Linked DNA regions of Caenorhabditis elegans. The protein of the gene in region 2 interacts with the protein of the main gene of each other region in a pairwise test. Each region holds a gene or a part of one and is shown on either strand. Other genes may lie near its edges.

Region 1 (6,181 bases), on a different chromosome or scaffold from region 2:
CAGCAATGCTATTCATTGGAAGAATTCTAAACCAAACAGAAACTCAAATATACAAATCAAATTCCAGTTTTTTGATCTCTAATTGATGTATTCATTGGTAGTCGTATGGGAACACATTAACTTATGGTTTTTTTTTCGTCGTTATTAAAGTTTCCATATTTAAAAATATCTTATCTTCTCTCATCATCATCATCATTCAGTTTTCCCCGAAAAATTTGAGTTTTGTGATTTATAAATTTTGTATCAAGATTTTCTCATTAAAAAAATTCATTTTTCCTTTCTAATTTCATTTTTCTATCTTTTTTCCTTCAATTTTCCTTATTTTCATCTCTCTCTCTTCCTGTTTCTCTGAATTACCATAATTACCTCAAAAAATTGTGCAATAGTTTTACCCACTATTTTTTGTTCTCCAGCCCTTTCCCGAATCGATCATTTCTCTCTTTGTTGTCATTTTAAAAACATTTTGTCTTTTCTTTTTTGCTCTGAATTGTCTCCTCCAATTATTCAAATCTTGTGTCCCTAGAAAGATGAAAAAAAAAGTTATAAAAATAAATGGTTAATTGATTGATAGCACCTGCAACAAACAATTCAATGGGATATACAAGGCACTAAAAAAACTGGGTAGTTGGGGAATCTTTGTGAAAGAAAAACGGGGATGCAAAAAACATGAGATGTTACAGCAAAATTAAATGTCATGAAATTTCAAAATACTAGTAGAACACGTGAAAATGAGCTGCGTCAACGGCCCACCGGTAACAGAAAGAGAAAGATTCGAATGCAATAATTTCTAGATGCCATATCCTTGGTACTCATTTTCATACTCCTCCTGCTCAAGTGCTCCGCGCGGAACGTAGTGCGATTTGAGATAATAGTCGAGGGAGATGTCCTCAAACTCCGGCCCAAACGACTGTATGAAGAAGATCTGTGAGATGGCACATCCCCATTCAGCGAGCGCCGAGATCTGGTGCAGCTCGTAGCCCTGGAAATTTGAAAAATTGTTTTCTAAGAACTTCAAGGGGTTTTTTTTAACTCATTCTGCCTTGTGTGAGACCAGACTATAAACTGATTTTTTAAGGTACATTGTTCCTAAAATACAAAACAAATATTTTTTCCAGGAATTCAATTCGGGAGACCAGGAATTACCCATTCTGCGAATTTGCTGGTGGGGATTGAGGGAATAGATGCTACTGCAAGTGAGTTTAAAAAAAAAAGAGCATTTGAAATTTCCCATGAAACAATTTTATAGCTGACATCAAGATTCCAACAAGATTGTAGTGGTTCCTTCAACAGAAAGTCTGTTTAAATGAAATATTTAAAAAAAAAAAGATTAAATGACGATCCGTTCTACAAGCGCTATGCACTGCGGATCTATAAGTCAGGTACACTGGTGCTCCCCCTGGGCTATAATTTAAGCCACGTCCTAGCCGGGGACTGTGGACAATAATCCAGTCGTGGATTGCTGCACTTCCCAATAGAGGCTGGGTAAACCCAGGGGGTGAGGCCGGACTTGAACTTGTGACCTCCAGATTGTTAATATATAATAATAATTGTACAACGTGCGCGCGTTGAGAGCTAATGGGTGTTGGCCCGACTAGGTCGGGGGGATCTGAGCGACGACGACGCCCCCATTAATCACCAGACTCGTAACTGATCGATGCACTTCAGATATTATTCACCCAGCGCCGAGTTTTTTTTTCTGTACGGACCTCCGGCCCGTCTATTAACCACGACTTTATTTGGGTATCATACATCATAATGATCAGGCGACCAACGCACCGGTCAAAGCGGAGACAAGAGTGACCGGCGTGGGGATTGAACCTGCACCATGTGGGTGAAAGTCGCGCACCTTACCCACTAGACCACTCAGGCCAACCTCCAGATTGTTAGCGGCCACCACTACCGACTGAGCTATGCTGCCCCCGGAAATATATATTTTTTTTGGTTTTATAGTTTTCGACTATCATTCAATGTATTATTTACTGAATATCAATAATACTTACGGGCTGATAAATACGACGGGACCAGGGACGGGGCGTCGGAAGATCCGGGTACGTCTTGTGGAAGATTTTGGAAGCAGCGATTCCGAATCCAAATGCTGAAAATTTAAATTTCTTTGCATAGCCATGAATCATTGAGATCATTTATGATACATCGCTAAAATGTTGCACAATTTTTTATATATCCGATTGGTGAGCTAGTTTAGACTTTAACCAAGGAAGACTTCAAAGATCATGCGCAACTTCCTTTAACATTTGTCGATTCTATGTAGCGTAATCTTGTTAAATTATCAACCAATTCGTATTTTAAATCCACTACAGGGAACAACTAGATGTTATCATCAAGAATGCGATCAATCTCTTCAGAAAAAAAAAAAATTCCGAGTGCAAAGGTCGAAACTTACAGCAGCAGAAGCAAATCACGGAGAAGATAGTGAAGATCACACGGTAATAGAAAACAGTCCTCAGTGTGATTGTCGGTGTGACTCGGTGCGTAAGGTAGCACTGGAAGATCATGTAGATGCTGAATCCACCAAATGAGGCAACGGCGGAGGACATGTGAACCGGGATGATGGCGGTTTCCTGAAAAGTAAAAATTATTAGGAGAAATTCCGTTCGGACTTTTCTCTCGTTCGGGTTTTTTTTCAGCGTTTGTTGTAACATTCTAGTTGTTGTGGCGGATTTCAGTGGCAAGTTTGAACTGGAGAAGAGCCGATGGGTAAATCGCTCTGGGTTCGGTGAATTAAACGCTGCCAAAGTAAAAAGGGTCACTGTACACTCGGCATTTGGCTTCAGCTTCTTGTCTAAATTTGGCCCAAAAAATATTAGCTTGAATCGATAGTTAGCTAAACTTGGACAAAAGTCGGGCAAGACTTTAGCTAAACATTGATTTATTCTGCGCCAAAGTTTAGTCCAAATTTCACCCATCTCTTGCCAAACTTTTGCTCAAACTTGTCTTGTTTTATTTTAATCTTGGGCAGAAGTTTGGCAAAAATTGGATTAGACTTGGGCAAGAAGCTTGAGCCAAATGTCGATCACGTGACAATAGTTTAGTTTATTTGAATTAAAAAAATTCTGAAAGTCGTCATAATTAATTTTCTGATTACATTTTTTATATCTGATTTGGGGGTGGGCGGCAAATTGCCGGTTTGCCGATTTACCGGAAATTTTCATTTTCGGCAAATTGCCAATTTGCCGTTTGCCGGATATCAGATTTCCCGGAAATGTTTAGGGAAATTATTAATAAGACGGGTAAATTCGGCAAATTGGCACTTTGTTTGCCGCCCACCTCTGATCTGATTCTTAACAGTTAGAAAGTCGACTGGATTTCAAACTACAACCCTGATAAATTATTCATTTACCAGAACCCTATCAATTGCTATAAATCATCAAATCAAGTACATTTTTTGCTACAATTCATATAAATTTCTACATCATTGACAAAACGTTTTTTTTTCGGCTTTGCCGAATTAAAATTTAAACTTATTCAAAATTAACTACCTGAACATTTGCCACAAAGAACAATCCCAGCGCGGCAATGTATCCAAACCACTTTTGCCGCCAGTTCCATGCCTGCAGGTTGGCCTCATCATAGAATGCGAAAATGCCCCTCAACTGGCGATATCTCACAAAGACCACAAGGGCAAGCAGAACACTGCTGATGTTGGCTCCGATGGCAAAGATGCATGATTGGGGACGTTTGTCGGCGGCCGACGAGAGGTACGGGAAGATTGGATCGACGTCGTGTTTGAGCACTGCGATAGTGTAGACGAAAACTGAAAGTTGATATACATATGTACATAGTTAGGCCTGTTTGGAAGTAATTTGTCAATGTGAATTTGAAACCGTATAGGAAATGCATAGTGTGTATCCTTTTTTTTTAATTTATTTATATACCATTTAAAAATTTTCTAAATTCGTCTTTAAAAAAAAAATAATCTATGGGGTTGTTCAAGTAGTGCCGGAAAATTAAAAAGTCTAGAAAAATAACGTCACAACTGTGTTAAAATACATTAAAAACAAGGTATGTTAACACAGTTGTGACGTCATTTTTTTTACACCTTGTAATTTTCCGACACTACTTGAATAACCCCATAAACTATATTTGTTGAAGATGAATTTTGAATTTTTTTAAAAATAATATATTAATAAATTTAATTTAATTTTTCTTCCAATGCATTTTGACTTGTTTCACGAGATATCCAAAATCATTGATGACTTTGTGAACGGTTTTATAGTAAAATAACTGCGAAATAGCAAAAAATAGTTCTAGTTTTGAAAACGAAATTTTGATGCAATGCTAAAAACGAAATACTCTAAATTAACCTGGTGTCTTTAGAAAAAAAAATATTTGCTAAATAACAGAAGTTGCAATTTAAATTTAAAAAAAAACATTGTTGTCGAATAGCAGGACAATTTGTCTTTTTAATTTTCAAGTTATTCTATCACTTTCTTTTGTCACAAAAAAAACTTACATGACTGCACGAAGAAGATGAGCGCGATAAGAACGGGCAGCGGGCCGAACCCTAGTTTTGACAGGCCGACACACATGCCCTGCAAGAGTAGAGTACAAACAAGAACAAACGAGAATCAAACAGTGAAACAACAACACAACAACAAAAATCGATGTGAAACATAATCATGTGAGGAAACGATTTTTTTTGTTGGAATGGGGATGCTTTAAAAAGTTATCAGAACGGTGTTTCTATCTCGAACGTTATATACTCTTATCAATTATTTGATAGAAGGCTCGGAACGATTAGAGGGCAGAAAGAAAACAGCTGCGTTTTGGCGGAGAAAAGAAATTTATTTGGAGAGGCAGAGAGAAAGTAAATTGATTAGTATCTTTTCGAGGTCTTCCTAAAATTCTATTAACTTTAGTTCCTTTTTTTCAACTAATGCTTTCAATTTAAAAAAAAACTTCGAAAAAATAGGAAAAACAACGAATTTCATAGCATGAAAAAAGAATTAGGCCTAAAAAACTGGAGACCATTTGAAAACTGTTTTGCGCGTGCAATCCGGTGTTCTAACAGTCGGCAAGTGTTCATAACCAGTGTGCACAAAAGACACACACACGCAGACACGTGACCCCTACGGACACTATGTTGCGAGAGTGAGACGGCGAGACAGCTGAGGAAGGATAGAGGTGTCAGGACTAATACGAGACAAAAGGGCAACTGGAGGGGGCTAGTTTTGAACACAATCTGAGGACTGTCACGTGAGCAGTTGTTGAGGGAAAAAAACGGGAGGATTGAGAAATCATGTGGTTGCTCAGAAAAAAAATTTGGAAAAGAAACTAAATGTTTTGGAAAGACACATCCTACCGTACCTTACAATAAAGATTCGGTATCCCCAGTAGGGAATTTTTTGAAGTTAACTCCAAAAAACTTATATTGAAAAATTGGGTAAGGTAATGTTACTCATAATTTTAGAAGTTGCACAAAAAATCTTTTACCTAAAATTGTTGTTTTCCAATTGTGTTTTGGGCATTGCCCTAAATTTGTTAAATAGTTAAAATGTATTGTAAATTTTCCAAATTACCAAAAATTTGCCTGCAAAATTTTGAAAATCTAAAAATTTTCAAGTGATTTATCTTAAAATTCGTCCATTCTGAATTTTTAAAAATGCATGTAGACAAAAAAACAACTGACCCTACCTTCACCTTTAAAAGGGATTAGGAAATCCAGTGTTTGCATTTTAATAGATACGTAGAACAATTTCAAGACCTGGAAAAATGAATATATGTAACTGGCTTTTTTGAAATTTACAATTTTTCAGTTAAGTATTCAATTTTTGATACTAATTCAGACTTTAAAAGATTGTGCAAATTTTTTGAAATTTTTCAGAGAAAAATGAAAATTGTTGAAATACCCTGTGAATTTATATCTGGTGAAAACCAATACAGGAAGAAAAGTGAATCATTATTCCTTTGTATTGCATTTCTAGGTAGATCTCAGACCGAGCAAAGCAAAAATCCACAAAACATTTTTTTTCAATAAATACTGTCATTATTGCTCAGTGATAACGAGTTTTGCACGGGTTTTTTTTCGAATTTTGAAATAAAATGGCTCGGAAAACAAATTTGAACATTTAAATAGCAAATTGAAAAATTGATAACTGTTTTTTATCTAATTAATAATTATTGTCATTTTCAAACAAATTATTTTTGCAGACGATAAAACTTT
Region 2 (4,652 bases):
AATAGTATGTTTAAACGTTTCCGGTCGGGTCGTGACAAAGTCAAAAACATTGGTAATTGAACAAAACATTCCAATTTCAAAATGTTTTTATGGCTGCAGTTATTCAATAGAATACTCAATAATATATTTCGCTAAAAAATAATTGGAAATGTAATTTTTATTCAAATAATTTTTTTCAACAAACAAAAAAAATTTATAGTTTTTTTTAAATTTAAAATCACATTTTTCAAAAAATTTGTAAAGCTGTTTGCGGGGAACAGGAGGGAGGTGGGGATTACGAAACAAACATGAAATCGATGTGGTTAAGCCGGGAGACAAAATGACCCAATAATTTGTCCAATGACGTGGATGTGTGACACCAAATTCAGAGCTCAAAGCTTCAAACGGAAAAGAATAAAAACCAGGAGAGTTGCTCCAGATTCAGAGAGAGAAAGACGTCTCCATATATGACTCTACGTCTATTCATAATGCGCACTGTCTCTCTATTTGGCTCAGCTGAGCATCATTGGCTTCGAAGCAGTAGAAGAAAGCCGAGAAATGGAAATGGAGGAGGTTAAGAGAGACAGAACGTGTGAGAAAGAGAGAGCGAGAGGGACAAAAATGAAAAGTAGGCGGTTTAAACAAACAAAGAAAAACACAAGGAATATCGGATCGAAAGGATGCTCCGAGGAGCAATATTCGGGAAAAAAAGGAGCTCCGGTTTCAGAATGTCACTTCTGAATTTGGAAGTGTGACAATTCAAAAGAATTAGTATAACTCAGCGGCCCGATTTTTGTACCAAAAATACGGTCTCGACACGACAAACTTTTGTTAATTGCAATTTAGCTGTAAAATGGTGTGCGCCTTTAAAAGAGTACTGTAATTTCCATTCCCAAGTTGTGAGAAAACAGGAGAAAAACGAATATTTATTAAAACAGGAGAAAAAAGATCAGAAGATTTGAGTATTTTGTTTGAAATAACAACAAGTTGACCAAATTATTTGTTTTTTTAGTTTTCAGAAACAGTTTTGTGAATGCATTTCATGAATGGTTTTTGTGTCAAAGCAACGTTATAATAAAATTTAAAAATAAAATATTTTAATCTCTATTTATTATAACGTATTGATTTTTACAAACACTTTACTATTTATAATACAATTACTTTCTTGATTTTGGGATTTTCTTGAAATTTGCAATATTTTCGCAATATTTTCGGAACGACATTTTGAAATCTCGACATTTCACACAATTTTTGCATGTAAACGTTGTATTTGCCACCGTTTTAATTGATTTCTCTCAATTTTAATTTCAGATTCATCAACTACAGTATACTCGCCTTTGACTTTCAAGCTCATCGAGAAGTGCGCCAGCTTCGCATAATCAAGAAGTGCGTCAGCACTCGACTTGCGCAATTCTTGTCAACTGATATGATTTCTTTTTGTTTTTTGGTTATTTTTTGCGCGTTCTTTGTGCTTTTCGTTTTTTTTTTGTTCGTTGGTTTCTTTCTTTAATGAAACGAAATATTTTATTTTAGTTTAGACTTCCAATATATAGAATAATTAAATTGCATATAACATGACGAAAGGAAGTATAATCTGGGATTATAAATTTTGAGCTTTAGCTATCTTCCTTTATCCTTTAATTCTTGCGTCATTCATAAATGACATATCGTTTACTTTCGAAAATTGATTTTCACATGTCCGTTAACAATAAATAATTTAATTTTATAATACTTTTAGGGTAAATATGTCAAACTCAACGATGGAGGCTACTCAAATGAAAGTAAAGCTGGCTGTCGATGAGATGATTGACGATTTGGATAAGACCTATTTGAGGGATATGCAGAAGAGCATGTTTCAGTGCTCAGCTCGGTAATTATTTTCGAAATTACACTAAATATGTTTAGTAAGCAATTTGTATTACGCTAAACCACCTGAAAATGTCTAATTTAACTTCGCAATTGAAAATTTTTTGCATTATTTCAGGTGCTGTGACAACAAGAAAACCACACGCGATGCTGTCGAGAACTGCGTTGAAAGCTGCAACGATGGCATGAAAAAGGCGCAAGGCTATCTTGAAAAAGAGCTCGGAGGGCTTCAAGACCAGCTCTCACGCTGTGCAATGACTTGCTATGATAAGCTTGTTCAACAGTTTGGTCCAGATGTCAATAAGTATTCAGAATCACAGGTGTGAAGATTTATTAAATTTTAGAAATCAAAAAATTTATAAATTAATTTAGGATTTAAAAAATCAACACCCGAGGGGGCTCATAGCTCACAGCTTTTGGTGGAACATTTTTTTGGAATTAAAACAAAAGTATATACAGTGAAAAGCTAGTTTGGGTTGAAAATTAATTTAGTTTTGTCGAAGAAGAATTTAATAGAAATAAGATTTAAATTATAAATCATCCATACATTGAATCGTGAAGCTCTTCAAGATTTCTCTGTCTCTCCTCCTCCTCAACTTCTTTATCAGTTTTGACCTTCTGACGGCATGTTGGGCAAGTTTGTTGAGCTTCAAGCCATAGAGTGAGACAAAAATAATGAAAGCGATGTTTGCATGGCATGACGATAACTGTGGTTCCGAACGTTGTTGGATCAATTTTTAATTCCTCTTTGATGACATGATCTTCAGGAATATCGACGTTGTTTTGCAAGTTATCCAAACAAATTGCACAGGTTGCTGAAAAATAGATTATTTAGGCAAATAGTCAGCATTTTTTCTGAGTGTTTTTTTTTTCAAATACAAGCTTTGCTCAATTTTAATAGTTTCTCATACCATCTTCTTTCTGTTGATCTGTAGTCTCTCGATCCATCAGTCTCAGCGCTTTATATGATTTTTTGTCAATTGGCAAACTTCCAACATTATACAAATCCAGCCATCTTTGCATCGCATCTGTTTGTGAACCAGTACCTTCCGCTCGCATTCCTTAATTTAATATATAATTTGAATGCTTTCTCATAAAATAACTTACTGACGAAGATGGTTTCGAGCATATGCGAAAAAGCTCTAATAGCGTCTCTTTCCGACATATCTAATTGCCAGATAAAATATTTTAAGAAATGACGAGAGATATGGTGACAAAAGGAAAACGTACTTACGCAAGTGCAACGAAAAACGTGCAATTCGTCGTAACGGTGTTTGCGGATTTTTTGCGTGTCTGTCTCGCACTCTCCATTCTTTCATCACGAGTTTTGATGACTATTTATGCAAATTTCGGGGGTTTATGAATCACCAATCAAGTGCCACGCTGTTCATCGATTTTTAGTTTTGTATTACTTTTGCTATTTTAATAGTTAGACCCTCATAAGATTTGTATCGAGGGGTGTTTTTTTTTTAATGTAACATTATGAAATCTAAAATGATTCATTTTCTTTTCTATTCTTTCTGTCGTCTCTAATTAATGATAATTATCAATTTGGTAGAAATTTAGCGATCGCTAAAGACGCACGGTATTATTCAGAAGGGTCTCGGCGCGGAAAAAAGTTTATGGTAGTTTTTAATATTTTTTGCAGCTGCTTTTCCTTACATTTTTCATTGCAATTACCTCGATTTTAGCAAATTTTGCCTTTTTTTAAAACATTTTCATGTTAAAAATTGTTGTAAACCAGTTTTTTATTAAAAATATGTGTTTTTCTGTTTTTTGGCGTGGAAGAAACAGAAAAGTGAAATATATTTTCTTTACGCGCTGAGCCCCATCTTAATAAATTCCGTGCGCCTTTAGCAAGGCATGGCAAAAATATTTATAAGACACATTTCTGTGATCCTAACGCCTCTGATTTCTCACAAAATTAAAAAAAAATTGATCAAAAATTAAGAAAATCCTCGCATTTCAGAAGCTCAGTTTCAACGAGAAGCTCGATTCGTGTGTCTCTGTTTGTGCTGATGATCACATCAAATTAATTCCGGCAATCAAGAAGAGATTCGCGAAAAATACCTGAGAGCCAGCCACACATTTTCCACCGAGTATTGCCATATCCCCTCTTAATTTCCCATTTATCAAAAAAATATCCCATTTAGGCGTATTCTCCACTCATTAGGCTCCCTCATTGTTGCTCACTATTATATCATTATTTTTCTTTCATACTTTTTTAATAAGTTTTCATGCATTCAGTCATAAAATCTCTATCCCAATTGATTTAAACTCTCCTTAAACGTTTTGACCGTATTTCATACTTTTTCCACCGAACTTATTCTCTTCAAACAAAACAACGTTCAGGTACTATGAAAAAAATATTACCGATCATATGGCTCATCAATTTGGTTAGTGGAAGCCTATCACTCGAGAAAAAAGCTCCCGATTTACTTGGAAAAGTATGTGCATTTGGAGATTTCAATGCAGATCGGAATACTGATATTCTGGTTTTTGCGAATGGAACATTGACGATTAATTATCAAGAAACTAAACTTCTTGATGTGGTTAGTTTTTATTTTTTCTTTTGTTGAAATTTCACATAAAAATTTTGAAATTTTCAGCTCGAAGCTTCCAAATTCACACCAGGAACATCGTTTGCCATCAGTAAACCCAGCCTGAATGCAGATTTTGTTGAATGTTCAGTTGGCGATTTCAATGGAGACTCTAGGCTTGATGTTTTGGTGAGTTTATTGAAAACATTGTCATTTTGCTTCATTGAACTTGAAATGCCCCGAAAAACGAAAAATTTCGAAAGAAAA

The links. Proteins that work in one complex are often made in the same cells at the same time.
Region 1: the proteins of famh-136 (region 2) and C33A11.2 interact in a two-hybrid assay, tested with the Caenorhabditis elegans proteins (one large-scale study listed by BioGRID).

Annotation. Positions count from the first base shown.
Region 1 is NC_003284.9:15,364,363-15,370,543, reverse strand, and holds C33A11.2 (Aa_trans domain-containing protein), read right to left. Parts: upstream 4,553-6,181; 5' UTR 4,548-4,552; coding exon 4,472-4,547; intron 3,773-4,471; coding exon 3,498-3,772; intron 2,580-3,497; coding exon 2,402-2,579; intron 2,096-2,401; coding exon 2,001-2,095; intron 1,870-2,000; exon of another isoform or gene 1,798-1,869; intron 980-1,797; coding exon 788-979; 3' UTR 545-787; downstream 1-544.
Region 2 is NC_003281.10:8,886,034-8,890,685, forward strand, and holds famh-136 (FAM161 homolog famh-136), read left to right. Parts: upstream 1-1,717; 5' UTR 1,718-1,724; coding exon 1,725-1,849; intron 1,850-1,963; coding exon 1,964-2,165; exon of another isoform or gene 2,166-2,382; coding exon of another isoform or gene 2,383-2,660; intron 2,661-2,756; coding exon of another isoform or gene 2,757-2,906; intron 2,907-2,952; coding exon of another isoform or gene 2,953-3,010; exon of another isoform or gene 3,011-3,123; intron 3,124-3,814; coding exon 3,815-3,919; 3' UTR 3,920-4,110; downstream 4,111-4,652. Other genes in the region: putative RING finger protein ZK637.14, read right to left, coding at 2,383-2,660, 2,757-2,906, 2,953-3,010; lnkn-1 (Protein linkin), read left to right, coding at 4,203-4,397, 4,455-4,574. UniProt on the Caenorhabditis elegans protein: May play a role in locomotion and behavior.